2 linked regions of the Schizosaccharomyces pombe genome follow. The gene in region 2 interacts genetically with the main gene of each other region. Each region holds a gene or a part of one and is shown on either strand. Other genes may lie near its edges.

Evidence for each region. Genes that interact genetically often act in the same process or in processes that back each other up.
Region 1: mutations in prp24 (region 2) and SPOM_SPAC212.04C together harm fitness more than expected from each alone (negative genetic interaction), as found in Schizosaccharomyces pombe (one large-scale study listed by BioGRID).

What each region holds. Positions count from the first base shown.
Region 1 is NC_003424.3:17,534-24,969, reverse strand, and holds SPOM_SPAC212.04C (uncharacterized protein), read right to left. Parts: upstream 3,384-7,436; coding exon 2,894-3,383; intron 2,839-2,893; coding exon 2,462-2,838; 3' UTR 1,920-2,461; downstream 1-1,919. Other genes in the region: SPOM_SPAC212.03 (uncharacterized protein), read left to right, coding at 992-1,381; SPOM_SPAC212.06C (DNA helicase-like protein), read right to left, coding at 6,413-6,621, 6,664-6,898.
Region 2 is NC_003423.3:4,133,526-4,143,020, reverse strand, and holds prp24 (RNA-binding protein Prp24), read left to right. Parts: upstream 1-3,782; 5' UTR 3,783-3,813; coding exon 3,814-4,045; exon of another isoform or gene 4,046-4,169; coding exon 4,170-4,435; exon of another isoform or gene 4,436-4,493; coding exon 4,494-7,040; 3' UTR 7,041-7,061; downstream 7,062-9,495. Other genes in the region: protein Mug131, read left to right, coding at 1-178; SPOM_SPBC1861.05 (carbohydrate kinase), read right to left, coding at 227-2,470; naa35 (NatC N-acetyltransferase complex subunit Mak10), read right to left, coding at 7,131-7,562, 7,608-9,302.

The DNA of each region.
Region 1 (7,436 bases), on a different chromosome or scaffold from region 2:
TAGACTCTCTATCCATCAGTCGAGAGACCAACCTGTAGTGGGTATGTCGTGGACTTGGGAGGATTAAATTAGAGGAATTGTGTTTTCTGAGCTACGTGTTCTATTTGCTCTATCAACTTTACACGATAAGTTATTTAGACATATTGCTAGTTGTGAACAAAACTAATCAAACGTAATAATAAAAATAATTCTAAATGCCATAAATTGAGAAGAACTAACCTCGTTCCTCAGTTCTGTAATAAGCTATTACAGTGATAGGTAACAGTTTAATAAATATCTATAGAAGGTGCTACTTATATTACCTGTGTACTGTAATATACTAGGTCAGAAGGAAAACACATCGTACTTATACGTATCGTTAAACAGATACCAAAACTGCGTAGCTGACATTATTAAACCATTTGAGCAACACTTGAGTTTTAGCAATGAGCCAACCTTTATAGAGCTGATGTAATTTTCAAGGGATCTATTGAATATTACAACACCTTCAAGGAAAGGAAATGAATAACGTAAATGTATTACAAATTTGTCTACTTACATAGAATACCCGATGATAGCAATCATTAGAAAAGATGATAAATAAAGAACTACAACTGAACCTCCTAACTCGTTTAGTATATTAGATTTTACGTCTAGTGATAGTTTTCAACCCAAATAAGTTATACTCTTCGATATAGCAATGATTACTCTAGTTTTATTACTCATAATGTGTGTCCTAACTATTGATGCTTATAATACCAATTCGTCTGAGTTCAGATAGGCAGTAGTTGATTGTTTTAATGCATATAGTAATGTGACTAACGGAACGATAACTGAGTTTGGGTAGACTTGTATTATTTAATACAGTCGAAGTTAATGATGGTGATTACACACGTTTGATTGACGAGTGTTTCTTTAAATAAACGAATGTCAGAAGGGTTGCTTTTCATTATGAAATGGCAATTTAGATGATGTGCCAATATGTTCAGTATCTCTCTTTGCGTTGACTACTATGAGTATTGAATTCGATGACAGTTCAAGACATAATATGAACATGACTCAGCTGATGCAATTAGGTGCGTTTGATAGACGCTCAGGCGACGATTTCATGGTCCAAGACTTCAAAAACGGTATACGTGATTGTTCAGGAATACCAGTTAATAATCGAAATTTAGCATTTAAGGCTTATGATGCTGTTAAACAGAAGTGCGATAGTTCCATAAAAGTTTTTAACATACAGGATATAACTATAAAAGGAGCAACATGGCAGCACCATAACTGCCAAAGTACAGGCAAATGGTATTCCCAGCTTTACGATTATCAAAATACTTTTATAGGAAAGCAAGAATACAATATTTTATTCGATTGTTACTCATACTTGAAATACAATTTGAATGGTTAATTGTTGAGCCGGTAAAATGTACTAAACTCTAGATTCTGTGTGAGTGCGACGCGAATATGGGTTTTTAGTAAACTAAACGAAATGAAATTGTGCCACGTTGGAGCATTTATACTCTACATACCTTGAGAAAAATGTTATTTCGTATAGTATGTTTATGTTGTATATAGAAACTTAGCAAGGACCCTGTCAATTTAACAAACTGTTATAAATAAAATATTTATCGAGAAAATAATGAAGCAAGTTTATTAAGATTTAGTGTATAGCGAATTAGCAGGAATTAGCTTTATTAAGAGTTGCGAGATCTTCCATATTTTAAAAAGTAATTCAAAAGCTAATATACTTAGTGTATAAACTTTATATATAATATTTCTTTGCTATTTTAATTGAATAAAGGAAAAAATGATATATACTGTTTTGCTTCTTACATCCTGTCATTATCTAATTTACAGTTCGTTCGAAACCCGGCAAAAAAATCCGTTGATTAATAAATAGCTATCGTCTGCTAAATAGGGGTTAAGAAGTAACAAATTGAAATTTCGTTTGCACGAGCGGAAAAAAGGAATATTATTTTTTTGTAGCAGCAGTATATTGTTGAAAAGCTAATCTAGTGAGGATGTCAATATAAAAACAGTGATTTTAGAAAGACTCTGAATAATTTAATTCTTTGCTACCAGAATTTAACTTGCAATTCAGAAATTTATTAAATTAATAAATAAGCGACTTATCAGTTTGCATATACTACATTGCATTTTTCAAGTTTCCAGACACATAACCTTAGAAACGAGTCATTCATGATGTATCATTAAGAATTCATTTTGTAAACGCAGTAAATGACATTCATAGTATTTGATTAAGCATAAAACGAGAGATAAAAACATTAGTAACATTATGTGATAATATCTTAATTAAAACCAATTAATAAATTTTGGTTAATGAAACACCTGTGAGGTGATTCTGGTTGGTTCCATAATTGAAATTCATAACGAACGCACCTTATGTGCATGATTTGGACAGGACAGTCAATTCGAACATTGTTAAGAATAGTTATATTCTATATGATCATGAAAACGATAAAGAAAATTATTTTTTCACAGGAGTAGGCATATTTTGTAGTTCTATTTGTTCAATATCAGAACCAACTGTTGCATCTGAATGTAATGCTGTTTCTCCGTTATGTGTAGGAAGAGTGTTAGAAACACAGACGTCTCCTGATGTCACAATTTTAAAGCCGAAAGCCAAAATTAAAATCTTGTAGACCAGCCAATGGCCGAAATATAAGATTCCAACCATAGCTGCTATAACTCCTGCTATTGTTGCAGTGATAATCACACTGAACGCTGCTATAACTCCTGCTATTGTTGCAGTGATAATCACACTGAACGCTGCTATAACCACACCGACCCATGCTATAACCATACTGATTAACGGTAGAGCTTTTATAATAAGCTTGGAGCAGTCTACAATAAACTATTAGTAAAGAGAAAAAACAGCTTCAGTGTGAAGGAAACGTACAGTTAAAAGCAGACAATAAGAGTATGAATAAGCCAACATAAATAACAATAGGCCCCCAAATTTCACTGTGGGACTGATTTTCACCTATCCATTCTAAATATGACTCTTTTATTTTAAATTTCTTGTCTATTGTTAAAATAGTGATAATAGACCAAATAATAAGCAAGACCCATCGAGATTTGTCCTGAGTAGAAATTCTTCCATTAGGATAATAGCTATTGTGGAATTTAGAAAATTCAGTAAAAAGGTCATTTAAAAACTCTTTTATTTTATTTGTTTTAATATTCATCTTGTCTTTTTGAGGCTTAATGGTGTTGGTAAAGAGGGATTGTCGGGATTGTCGAGATCGTTGAGATTGTTTGTTTACCTTTTCAGGCTTACACAAATCAAGTCCCTGCTCTAGGTCCACATTACAAACATCTTCCACCATAAATAACTCATTGTAACCAGGAGGTTCAACCTGTTTTTTCAAGCTTTCTGGATTTGACATTGGAATAGAACGACAGCACTGTAATTTGATGACTTCTGATTCACTAGTATTTTTCCCCAAAGTAAAATTAAAAAGAGTGGTTTATGGAAAATAAAAAAGAAAATATACTAAAATATTTTAAGCCATAAACGAGAAAATTAAAAAAAAAACCAAAATGGTGAATGTTTTACGTTCTGAGGTGTCTCATTTATTTAGGAAAAGCATTATGATGTTGGCATCTCGTAATCCTTACAACCTTTTTCTTTTCACAATTTAACAGCTACGCAGTTTGGTATCTGTTTAACGATACGTATAATAGCGGTGAGTTTCTTTTGCGACCTACAAACTAGTGGTATGCGGTATGTCTAACTAACAATTGTTATAATTATTGTTATAAGGAGTCTAATGGTATCGGTCACCGATATAGCTAAATAACTGAACTGAGGAACGATGTTCAGTTGTGTCTCTATTTATAGTATTGCAAACAATATAGACTTTAATAAATCATCATCGAGATCTATTTAATTGTTGTATCATCTATCATTGTATAATTTGAATCCTTAATTATGACATTGCTAAGGATGATTACATTCTATATGATCATGAAAACGATAAAGATTAATTTTTTCACAGGAGTAGGCATATTTTGTAATTCTATTTGTTGAATGTCAGAACCAACTGTTGCATCTGACTGTAATGCCGTTTTTCCATTATGTGTAGGAAGACTGTCAGAAGTAAGGACACCACCTCCCGATGGCTCAACTTTTAAACCGAAAGCCATAATTAAAATCTTGTAGACCCCAATGGCCGAGATATAAGATTCCAGCCAAGGATATAAACATGCAGCAAAATTTTATTTTCCTACATTTTCTATTTTGCTATTTTCATAAATGTTTATGTTAGCATAATTTAATTTTTAGTCTTCCTTTTTTTTTTGTTCTAGATGAACAATAAGGCATCTAGAACACCATTAGAACAGAAGCTTTTTAGTTTAGATTATTTTAGATCTTTTGAAAACTTTAAAAGAGTAAAATGTAAATAAAAAAAAAAAAAAAAAAAAAAGTTAAGTTATAATTTATCGAATTTTATGTTGTTTTATCTTAATTTACTTTGTTTTATTTTATTTTATTAAGTTTTAATATTTTTGTTAATTTTTTTTTGTTTTATTTTAATTTACTTTGATTAATTTTCATTTTATTTATTTAGTATATTTATTTATTTTCTATCAAAATAGCGAAACTTGTATAATATATTAATTCATTATTCATTATTCATTATTTTCATTATCTATAATATTTCAACTTCATATACTTTTCTATTTTTGTCGCTATATTCATTCTACAACATGACATATCACTCTTCTTTTTGTTTATTATTACTCAAACATTTTCTCTTCTAATTAACGAAATTTAATCTTTTTCTCTATTTGTTTCATTATTGTTTCATTATCTGTTACTACTTTATTCTCTACTTTATTTTTTTACTTTCAATAACAATAACAAAAGTTGTACTTTTCTCTATCGTATTCAATTCCTATTTGACATATTCATTGCCAGCTGATATATCACCAGTAATTGTAACGACTGTTTTTTCAATAATTTAGTTGATTTGTTTTAGTGGAATAGAATGCACTAATTTCATCATCTACTTTCCAATATTTTCATCTTCTATCTCTTTCTCTTTCTCTTTCTCTTCCTCTTCCTCTTTTCTATCTTTCTACTTGAAATTCCTTTTTCTAATTGACATTCCTTTTTCTTACTATTACTCCTCTTATTCATCACTATACGTCGTTCAGTTGGCTTTATCGTACCCTTAACTTTTTTTAACGAAGCTAATATTTATCAAAAACAAACATCTGTTTTCATCCTACATACACGTACTCTTTTACTGCCAGCTACTTTGCATTTTTTTTTATTTCGATTTACTAGAGTCACTTGTTTATTTTTCTATTTACATTCTCGCAATGTATTTGTATATCTCTATTTATATCACCATACTTTATTCTATCGATCTTACTCTATTCTATCTATCTTACTCTATTCTATCTATCTTACTACCATTCACCTCATTTCATATGTTATAGAACCGTTACTTTTCATTCAAACGAAATCTTCATCTTATTTATCTCATCTGTTCATCAATTATTATTTTCTATCATCATCTTTCACAATACCAACTTACATAACTATTCTTTATTATCTACCGTCTTACTTGTAATATGACTGACTCATTATTTTCATTTCATTTTCATTTTCATTCAATAGCGACACTTTATTCCATTTCTTATTAATCATCGTCATTATCACCTTACACATATCCAATGCAACCATGTAACTGTAACCAACCCATCATCAATAGTGAGCATCGTCGTCCTATTCAAACGATTACTCTCTTTACTCATTTACTTATTTACTTATTTACTCATTTACTTATTTACTCATCTACTCATCTACTCATCTACTCTACTCACTTACTCATTTACTCATCTATTCGTCTTCAACAATTTCAATTTTCATTACGATACCTTGTCATTTCATTCATCTCTTTACTTTGTATATCTATTTTCATTTTTTCTTGCGACTTGATTATTTACAGATTTTCTGATTGTCTATACTCAAATACATACATCACATTCTCACCATACACATATCATATCCTGTATAACCGTAACCACCACTCATTATTTAACGAAAGCACCACCTCTCATTACTTGTCGAGTTCAACATTTTCTTTAAACAAAATACTGAAATAGTTGATCCCAACGATTTCACTTTTCGTTACCAATTCTATGCCATCGTTTACAACATTCATCTCCCATGACTCTTCATTATTCCACAATAACAAACAAATAGCGAGATTTTACTCATGTCTATTTTATAGAAATTGTGTCCATACAAAAACGACTTTAACTTTTTAACCATTTCGTTTTGTCTTGGTACTCAATTTAGATCGTAATCTTGATTACTGACAACAATCGTTTCGGCTGGATTTTGTTTTATACAATCGAACGAATGTTGTCAGAGTATTTTACCTCTCAGCGTAATGTGTAGTTAAGTTTTACCAGACACTGGCGTAGTACTAGTAGTGTTAGTGTTCATAGCACTCATACCACTGCTACTCCCTGGCTGTGGTGGGGGGGAAGACGAAAACGATGCATTATAACGCGAATGTGTTGCAATGGCTGGTTTCGGTGTTTCTGGCAATGTCGGTTTCACTCCATACATCGTAGACACAGTTGATTCTTCACCAAGTAACGAATCTGAGCATCTTGAGCAGTAAACACAGTTAGCAAACGATGCACAACATACACATTCGCCATCCATTTCACTTGCGAGAAACGATCGAACACACATCGTATTATCATTAAGAAAGTTTTTCATCGAATCCTCCACGTAGCTCGACCATGTAGAATCATATTTCTCGTAAAACAATGCTGCAATCGCATACTTGCCATCTCTTCCAGCTCGACCTGTCTCCTGTACATAATCCATAGATGAAGCTGGTAATCTATAGTGTACTACTAAACGCACTCCCATATAGTTGATACCGAGTCCAAATCCCTTGCTAAGCGATCATGATTCGTGTCTTTCCATTTGCGTTCTCCAATTGATCAACTCGCTTGATGAATGGGTGCTTTGTTTCTACCAACAATCCATGGGTCGGGTTGTCTCGAATCTGCAATAGTTCCTGCCACTTATAGCTTGCACGAAAAAAGTTGACGAAATAATCCGATGGCAGATAATGCAAGTTGTCCATAGTGCGTCCATAGATGTAGAGCGCTGTGTTTCGTGTATGTTCAGCCTGTAAATCGAAATAAGATTCTCTCGTCATGTCTTTCTCGATGTTCTTTTTCTTTAAAGTAGTGAGCAATGTGTCTGTAGTTTTGAAATCCCAACGGTTTCTGAATGCATTGGTAGATGGCCTTTGAAAAAATTCGATACGGTAAATCTCTTTGCAATCGTTCGCCAACAATCACAAACATGAAATCCAAGTGTGCATGCAGCTACTTTCGACCTATCAGCGGTTGTCACATACTTCATCAATGCTTCTAATGGTCGAACCAAAACATAGTAC
Region 2 (9,495 bases):
GTATGAAACGTTTATTAACGAAGCTTCACTCTGTGATAAATTCATGAAAAGAAAACATGAAAGGATAGAGACACCGTTGAGCTCACAGGGAAGGGAAATTTCCAATACTCTTAGTCGGAAGCGTGGTGCTAAGGGAAGTAATCCATTTGAAATCGAAAATATGATGCCACACGCCTAGAAAATAAAGAATTCTCGCGGCATTATTAACGATCGTTAATGAGAGCAACTATTTTAAAAGAGTCTTTATTTCAGGATTTACTGAAAAATTACACTGCAAAGTGAGGCCCGCAGCTTTTTGAGCAGTATCAATAGCATCGTCCATACCCCAGCCTTTCGAAAGCAAAGCAGTGAAAGTACCGATAAAAGTATCACCAGTTCCGCTAGCATTTACAGGGGTTGCTATAACTTTTGGAACAGGGTAATACTTTACAGTCACATTTCCGGGGGTAAAAAGGCTGGCTGAGTTTGAATTCACTCCTTGAAGTTTCTCAGAGCTTATTAAAAGAGCACCATTAGGTCCTAACTTAACAATAATATTCTTTATGAAGGGAAGTAAATGAAAACACTTTTGTAAGATTCCGTTTTCTGTAATTTCTTCTATTCCTGTACTTTTCGTAAAACGCTCAATCTCATTATAGAAAGAGGAGGTGATACCAAAGCTGTTTAACTTCTGCCACCATGACTCATTCTCGAAGAAATTTCCGTCTTTCATAGCTTGAAATAATACATCGAGTTCAAACTTGTTCGGTGTTATAAAATCAATTGAGGCAACAGATAAGACTTTTAGTATCTTTAATGTTTTGGGACCACTGGTTGGTTCAAAAACGACTCGTTGCTTACTCGATTTAGATGTGGTTATATCTAGCATCAATGACGGTGAAATATTACCATCAAAACAAATGTACTTAGCGTCATTAAGATCATCCTTGATTTCTGAATAACTAAGGTTTTCCATGATGGCCATGTCAGCTCCAGCTAATAATAAATTGCCATTACAATCGTTGATAGCTGTGTATGAGCAAGAGGTAAAGTTACTTTTCTCAACAATGGTATGCTGCAAAGAAGACTTGGTAAGATACTCTTTAATAGAGGAAGTGGGTACGGATTTTGTTCCAACACATGAAACCAACTTCGTAGAAGCGCCCATTAAAGAAGAAGCCAAAGCCATGTTATGAGCAACACCGCCAAAAGCCTGTTCAGAGTGACAAGGATGAGATGTGCCAAGGAATTTAGATGTTAAAGGATTATCCAATTTCAAAACTGAGTCAATAGACACACTACCAACACATACAACTTCTGCAGGTTTGGACGTTGTTTCTGTAATTTTTTTTTTGCTCGACGAAACCCCTTTGTCACTCACTTTACCATAGAAAAAGTCTTGTTTAACCGGCTTCGTTTCAAATGTATTTCCGGTGTTGGTAGGGAAAAAAGAGCTTTTTTCTTTTAAAACAGCTAGTTCTTTTGCAATAAGGGAAGCCTTTTCGGCATTGTTTAAGACCAAATCAATATTAGTATTTAAACTTTTCCCTTTTGATTCTCTTAGAAGTTCTCCTAAAAGCCATGGAGTTACATTTTTACCAGTTATGCCAAGTTGTACACTCCTTTGCAAACAAGTTTCAATCAAAGCCTCCATTTTTTCGTAATCAATAGAACAATGGTGAGGGGTGGGAATGGCCACAAGAGTACCACATTCCTGGCCAAGCTGTATATTACTAAAGAGCATGTTAGCAATTAACTGCGGAGTTTCTAGAGAAAGAGGGCTCTGGAACTTGGATTCTCTTGAAAAAAATGCAGGGAAAGCCGATTTTGGAGGGCCTAAAGTGACAACAGGAACACCCTGAGTTTCTAATACTTCAAGTGTGCGTCCAATATCGAGTATACTCTTGACACCAGCACTGACGACGGCAACCCTTGTGCGACCTAATTCTATTAAATCCGCAGAAATATCCATGGAATTTTCTGCCCCACGATGAACACCACCTATACCGCCCGTTGCGAATACGTCAATGCCAGCTGCTCTAGCCAAGATCATAGTTGCAGCAACTGTGGTTCCACCATTGAGTCTCTGGGAAGCAACATAAGATAAATCTCTACGAGACACTTTATATGCTGTTTCACCTGATTTAGCAAGTTCGCTTAACTGAAATTGTTCAAGCCCTATAGTACATTGTCCATTTAATAGAGCAATTGTCGCAGGAACCGCACCCATGCTGCGTACCTTGCTTTCCACTTGAATTGCCAATTCTTCATTTTGAGGATAAGGCATTCCATGAGTGATGATAGTTGATTCTAAGGCAACGACTGGTACGTTGTTTTTAAGGGCTTCTGTCACTTCCTTGGATAAGGCCAGCGGACTATATCTTCTGCAAAGTATATTCCTCAATCCAGGGTTTGGATTTCTCTTCAGCCTTCTGAACCCCAATGGAATACGTGAAACTAACCGACAACCTCTATTCATAACGATGAGCATATAAGCAAGATGCTAAGAAAAATAGTGATAAATAGGTAAATAATATAGGACAAACGAAGAAAGCGTATATCAGATAATATTAAAATCGTGAATAAATCGTACTATACGCGCTCACTCCGCGTATCTAATAAACGTAAAAAGAATGAGTGGAATAAAGTTAACCCAAAATTGAGATTTAAAAAGGACGTATACTATTAGGAATAAAAGTTTAAGGAACAAAAAATGAAAATGCCAGAACGATCAGACGACGTTTTTTATATATAATCTACCTCGGCAAATCATATCTAAACATGGTGGTGTCTGATAATAAATGTACGCTTTCCCCATGGAAAAGCCGATCACAAAAAATGTTACTTCGCCGATATATGTCAAGATAACTTTATAGTAAAATGTAAATAAAAGGAGAGCAGGCAAACTGAATACTTTGCCGGCGCTCCGAATTTACTGATACAAAACTTGGAATTGAGTTTTTTTTTGAATTCTTTTATTTATTTTGGTGTCGAAAACAATTCATATTAAAGCAATAGACTTGAATTTTGAATGGAGTTGCAATAAAATGCAACTCTATTTAAAAAAGAACTTCTTTTATCCAGGAAACCAATGCCATGACCCTTTTTTATCTATTGTGTTTAATTGTGAAACCATGTTCTGATTAAAGTATAAATATTCATTCTTCTGAAAGGAACTGAATTTTTTATGATGTTTGCATGGCTTAATTTGTCGAATTGTTTCATTATTTTTATAAAAGAATTTTACATTATTTACTATATTTTTATTCTAAGTACTAAGAGGTTTTTAAGCTGACTGAAGTGTAAAATTACTTTACCCAAAAAATTATATTACTATCATTTTTACAGAAAAGATAAAATAAGGATCAAGATTTGCCAGACTTTTGAGTTTTACCATATTCACATAATCCAATTGACAGACAAGTTTACTATAATAAAACAAATGTATATCTGTTTACAAACTATTGTTGTTAATTCCCTCCTTCAGGAAAAAATGTATCACTTCATAAAATGGTTGAACTTAGGTCTATGACTAAAAGATATTAACAGCAAACTAAGTAGTGCTATCTTGTTCTGAAGCATATTTTTACAAGTTTTATTATTCAATCTTTTAATCTCTTTCTCCCTTTTAACAATGTGCCTTGTATATTAGGATCAACCTAGATTGTTTAATATTTTCTAGTATTTTAACGAATTGCTTTTTTACTTTTTTCCATTTAACTTCCCCTTGTTTTTTAAGACTTTAGTGTTTATCTTGAAATTTACTTGACATTATACGCATGACATTTACCTAAGGAACCCAGCAAAAGCCTAGTCTTCGTCGGTTTTGACGAAATGAGTCAAATACAAGATTTAAAAGATGAGAATGTCGAAATGGATATTGATCCACAAGAACAAAACGAAAAAAAGCCTTTGCTTCTGGATGAATTGACCAAATTTACGATTTTACATCCCTATAATTATGATAGTCATATTAAACTCATTGAAGAGTTAAAGCGTCTAGATAAAAAGAAGGAGTTGTCAGAGGCTAGAAAGACTTTTCAATCGATCTTTCCACTTTCAGAAGGTATGTCAATCAACAATCGTCTAGGTAAAGCGTGTTGAGGCGAATTCCATAGACTCGCAAAAATTATTCACTAATTACTTTAACTTTGTTAATCTTTTGACAAGCATTTATTAATGGTTTTTAGATTTGTGGGTAGATTACCTTTTAGATGAGTGCAAAAACTGTAGGACTTTAGACGACTATGTGAGGATAAAAACATTGTTTGATTTGGCAGTTCAAGATTATCTGTCAATCAAAATTTGGTGTATGTATCTTGAATTTACGCTAAACTTAATGGACACTTCTTCTTTTGAACAAGAACAGTCTGAATTAAACGGCGTTATTACTTTGACAGATGCCCATTCTCTTTTTGAACGTGCATACCAAACTTGCAAATTTCATTTTTCTAAAGTAAGGAACTAAAAATTTTCTTCATGATAAAAATGTATTTACTAATCAATGTTTACAGAGTCAATGTGTTTGGACGTTATATTTGGAATTTTTACAGACGTTCGGTGATGCTCTATTTGAGGGAGAAGAAGAGCAAGAAATTGTTTTTAAAAACAAGATATATGATTTTCATATTGATAGATTAAAACTTCCACATGAGCAGATTGAAGAAACGTTTACTTCTTTATCAACGTTTGTCACAAATAACTGGTCTCCTTCCGAATATGAGGATGTTATGGTGAAAAGCAATAAAGTGTATGAGACTACACTTAAAAGAAATGCAAAAATTTTTAATAAAGAACTATTGTTAAACAGCGCAAATCATTCTCTCGAAGCGTATATGGATTTAATTAATGATGAATCGCGACGCTCAACAGCTGAGTTACAATATATAACAACTCTCTATGAGCGTGCCATAGTTTTGTATCCCCTCATTCCGGAACTCTGGTTGCAATACACTGCCTGGCTTAGTAAAGTGGATTTTTCTTCTTCTCAAGCGTCCAGTGTAGCAGAACGAGCTACTCGTAACTGTTCATGGATTGGGCGTATTTGGTCCATTAAACTGACTTATATGACGCTTTCTGGAGCATCCACATCGGCTGTCTGTGAAGAGAAAGATCGATGTTTGAATTCAAATTTGCTCGTAAATTTTGACGAGGTTATTGATTTTTTTAGCGGATTTTTAAAAGCATGCCTATATTTGTCTTCTAATGAAGATAAGCCACAGGAATTTTTGAAACATCAAATTCATAAAGTCGAAGACTATTTGCGAAAAAATCATAAGGGATCAAAGGATGCAAGAATGCGCATTGAACTTTCAAAAATTTATTTATATTCAGAAATCTCTGATTTTGAAAGCGTAGAAAAGTGCTGGTCTGATATGTTTCATGATTTTCAAAATCAGGCATTATATTGGATTTCTCGATACATAAGTACGATGAAGTATAACCCAGAGCTTGCGGCTGAGACGTTAAAAAAAAGCCTTTACAAAAACGTTGATCAGCCTCAACTTCTGTTCCAATTTTATCAATCCATTATGGACCTTAATAATGACTGTTTCACAAACACATCACATTTATATGACGTTTTAAATGCACAGAGGATTAGCTTCAAACGTCAATTGGATTCTTTTGCTGAAGAAACGAAGCAGACTGTCGAAAACACCGAACCACTAAAAGTGCCTCAAGCTGATGATACAGCCGCCCTTTCAAAGAAAAGAAAACCTGGGCAAGAAGGTGATGTGTTCAAAAAGTCGAAACCTATTGAGCAACACAGGAATAGGGAAGAACTTACAGTTTTGGTTACCAATCTACCTTCCGATATAAGCGAAAATGAGTTGAAAATTTTTTTCAAAGATTGTGGTAATATTATACGCATTTTTATCCTCGAAGACAATCAAAAGGATGTTAAAGTGGCTCAGATTGAATTTTCTGAAACCAGTGAAGTTCTTGCTGCTAAAACAAGAGACCTTAAATCGATAAGGGGTCATGAAATTTCTGTTCAAATTCATGTAGACACGAACCTCTACGTTACCAATTTTCCTCCGACTTATGATGAATTAGATATAACCAAATTATTTTCTGCATATGGTAATGTGGTTGACGTCCGTTTTCCTAGTCTAAGGTATAACACGAACAGGCGTTTTTGTTATGTACAAATGAGAAAGCCCGATGAGGCACACAATGCCCTGCAGTTACATAAGAAGCTATTGGAAGAGAAGTATCCTATTCAAGTCTTTATATCAGACCCGCTTCGGCGAACTCCTAGAAGCGGTGCTGTCTATGAGGGTAGAGAACTCTACGTTACAAATATTGATTTTAAAGTAAATGAAAAAGACGTAGAAACATTTTTTAGGGATTATGGGCAGGTTGAGAGTGTTCGAATACCGAAAAGATTTAATCAACATAAAGGTTTTGGATATGTGGTAATGACTACAAATCAAGATGCTGAAAATGCACTTTCTGCTGCTGGAAAGCAATTGGGAAATAGAGTTTTGAACGTTGTTTTGTCGAAGCCTCGAGAATCTCTAGAGAAAACAAGGGTATCATCCAATGACAACCGAACCTTAGCTAAAAGCTTTGAGACTACTGAGTCAAATAAAATGTCAACGCCAAAAAAATCATTCGAACAAATCAAAAGCAAAAGCCTAGGAGTCACTAATGTCGACGGGACTGTTAACGAGGCTAGACTTAGAAGTTTATTCGAAAGCTACGGAAAGTTGTATAGAGTTGTTCTTCATCCTGAACATGAAGGTGCTGTAGTAGAGTTTTTGGATATTCATGATGCGGGAAAGGCATCCTTGGCATTAGAAGGACATGAAATTGGTGGCAGGTTACTACACATTACCACTGTCAATGAAATGATGCACAATGTCCCATCTAGTATGAATCATTCCGATTACAATACCTCTGCTACACGCCCACGGCGACTCGGAAGCCGAACGTTTCAAGGTTTCAATTCCAATCATTCCAATATAAATTCTAAGAAGGACGATTTAGACGATAAAGAAATGCAGATAGATGCACCTAAAAGCAACGATGATTTTAGGAAAATGTTTTTAAAATAGTCAGCAATAATTAGATTGAATGATTAAAAAAATATTGAAAACCTAACTTTTGATAATTTTGATTTATTAACATAAAAGACGAACAACACCTCATGTACGTGAAAGACTTGGGAGCGGATTTCCAGGTATTTCCACTATTTTTAGATTAGCACTATGATCTTTGGATAAGATTGCAAGTGAAACCAGATTTGTAATGCAGCAACATAATAAATTTTTTAAATAGTTGGTTTGCAAGAAATACGGGTTGATGAACTCATTCTGTTCAAAACCGGATTTTATAACATTAATAAGGCTATTCTTTGCAGCAGTGAATTTTTCATTAGATTTGATGATTAAATCATCCGTAGAGAAATTTTGAAGATTTTTGATTATGCAATCAGCTTCCGAACGAAGTAGTGGCTTGGGTTGACGCAAATTAATTAAAGGACGATAATGGGCCATGTAATATGACTCTTGAATTTTTTCATCAAGAGTAAATGAAGGAGTTTTAATGATATTCAACCGCATACAAAGCACCGTCAGCTAAAATCGTTAGAATAAAAAAGAAGCGATAAGCTTTATACATACTAGTAAATAGCCAGAATAGGTCTCCTTTATAGCATTCAATATTCGATGCAAATATGTAACAAAGGTTTTGGCCATAGGTGGGGTATTACGATCCTTTCCATGAAGCTCTAAATGAGTCTGGTGGATAGAAAAGACATGATCAAGCACAGCAAAAAAATGGGGCCATTGATATGGTTGGTGAAGTTTTTGTTCAAAGGAAGAAAGCAAGATATGCTCAATTGCATTTAGCTTAACATGGTAAATAAATGATGAAAACGGTCCATTACTTGGTAGGCTTTTTGCTACGAATTTCAAATCAAGCGCTTCAGCTTCAAAATGAGCAACGGTAATTTCAGGAAGTAAATTTATTAGATTACGGCGGAACCGACAGGGATTGTGGGAACAAATTCGGACAAGGTCAACCATGATATTAGTTGAATGAGCAATCAAAGACTCAACTAGCGGACCATAGGCTGATGAGATAGAGTTTTTTTCGATTACTGTACGGGTGTTAGGATTATAAAAATTTGAAGGAAGCCCAGAAAACTCACGAATACATTCTAACATATACGAAGTAGGTTGATCCCTTAGATTAACTGCATTGTTAGCAGTGATAAGTGCTTGAAGGGAGGAACGGACGTAAGGCTCTGGAGTACGATTCAATCTCGTAAAATCTAAACAAAACTGATATACTGCCAAGGAAGAAGCGAGAGTGTGGCTATTCAAAATCAAAAGCATATCATCAGCAAAATACAAAATTCGTTGATAAGAATGCTCAATGCCAGTAGGAGGAATATTCCTCACAGGAGCTGTAGCAACTAATTGGGCTTGGACGCGAAAATCCCAATATTGCTTTAATATGCTCTCCTTGATAGATGAATCAACTACCGAAACCGTGTTCTGAATCTCGGGTACCAAATTTTTGATCAGATGGAGAGCATCGATGGTGGTCTTAATATCACTCCTTTCATACACTCGTAAAATACCAATTCGAAGTTGTATTCTATTGAGAATTCCCTCGATAATTTGTCGTAACTCGGCAGAAAATTTTATAACCTCGGAAGCCAAATATTCGATGCTAGATTGCAAAAGATAATTGAGTTTTTCTATGGGGTAATTTTGAAGAAAGGACATGTGATATGAAAACGAACTAATGTCTTCCTCGTCATATAAATTTCCCATCAGAAATTCTCGATGAACAATATCGCAACATTTAATAACAGCCAAAACAAAAGGGAAAAGAACGATGTCAGTTGTATTCCTTCCGCTACCACTGGAGAAGCCACTGTCACCCACTTGTGAAATAGGCGACTTGCAAATGGAGAACACATGGGCACTACAGAGTAAGCTCTCTGATAAGGGGGATCCATAATGCCACTCTTTTTCCGCAGAGACAATTAAATCCATTAACGCTAATATTTCCAAGTAAGAGAGATCACGTGAAAAATCTACACGAAGTGGCTGATAATCAATCCCACTATCCATTTTCGGTTCCATAATTTCAAAGGCACTGATTGAATCCAATAATGTAAATTTTGGATCACATACTAGCTGTTCCTCTTTCAGAGATTTCGTGGCTTCAAAGTAAGACTTTGTACAGTCGACATATCCAGCGTTATCAACATAACCTTCGTTCCCTTTGGCCGGTTCCACATTTCCAATCTTCACATTTCCTTGCATAGAATTAAGCAATGATAGGGACTCTTTAACAGACATAAAATCGACAAAACACCCCTATATTGACCAATTTTCTATTGAACGTCTAGTTTATGGGTTAATGAAAAGTGTTACTCTGTAAGTCACAACAAAAATTCCACGCATAAAAATGCTTGTTCAATAACATTTTCGAGAGTAAATAAGATGGTAATTTTTTCAATAATAATAAAAACAATGATAAATCCAATTTGAA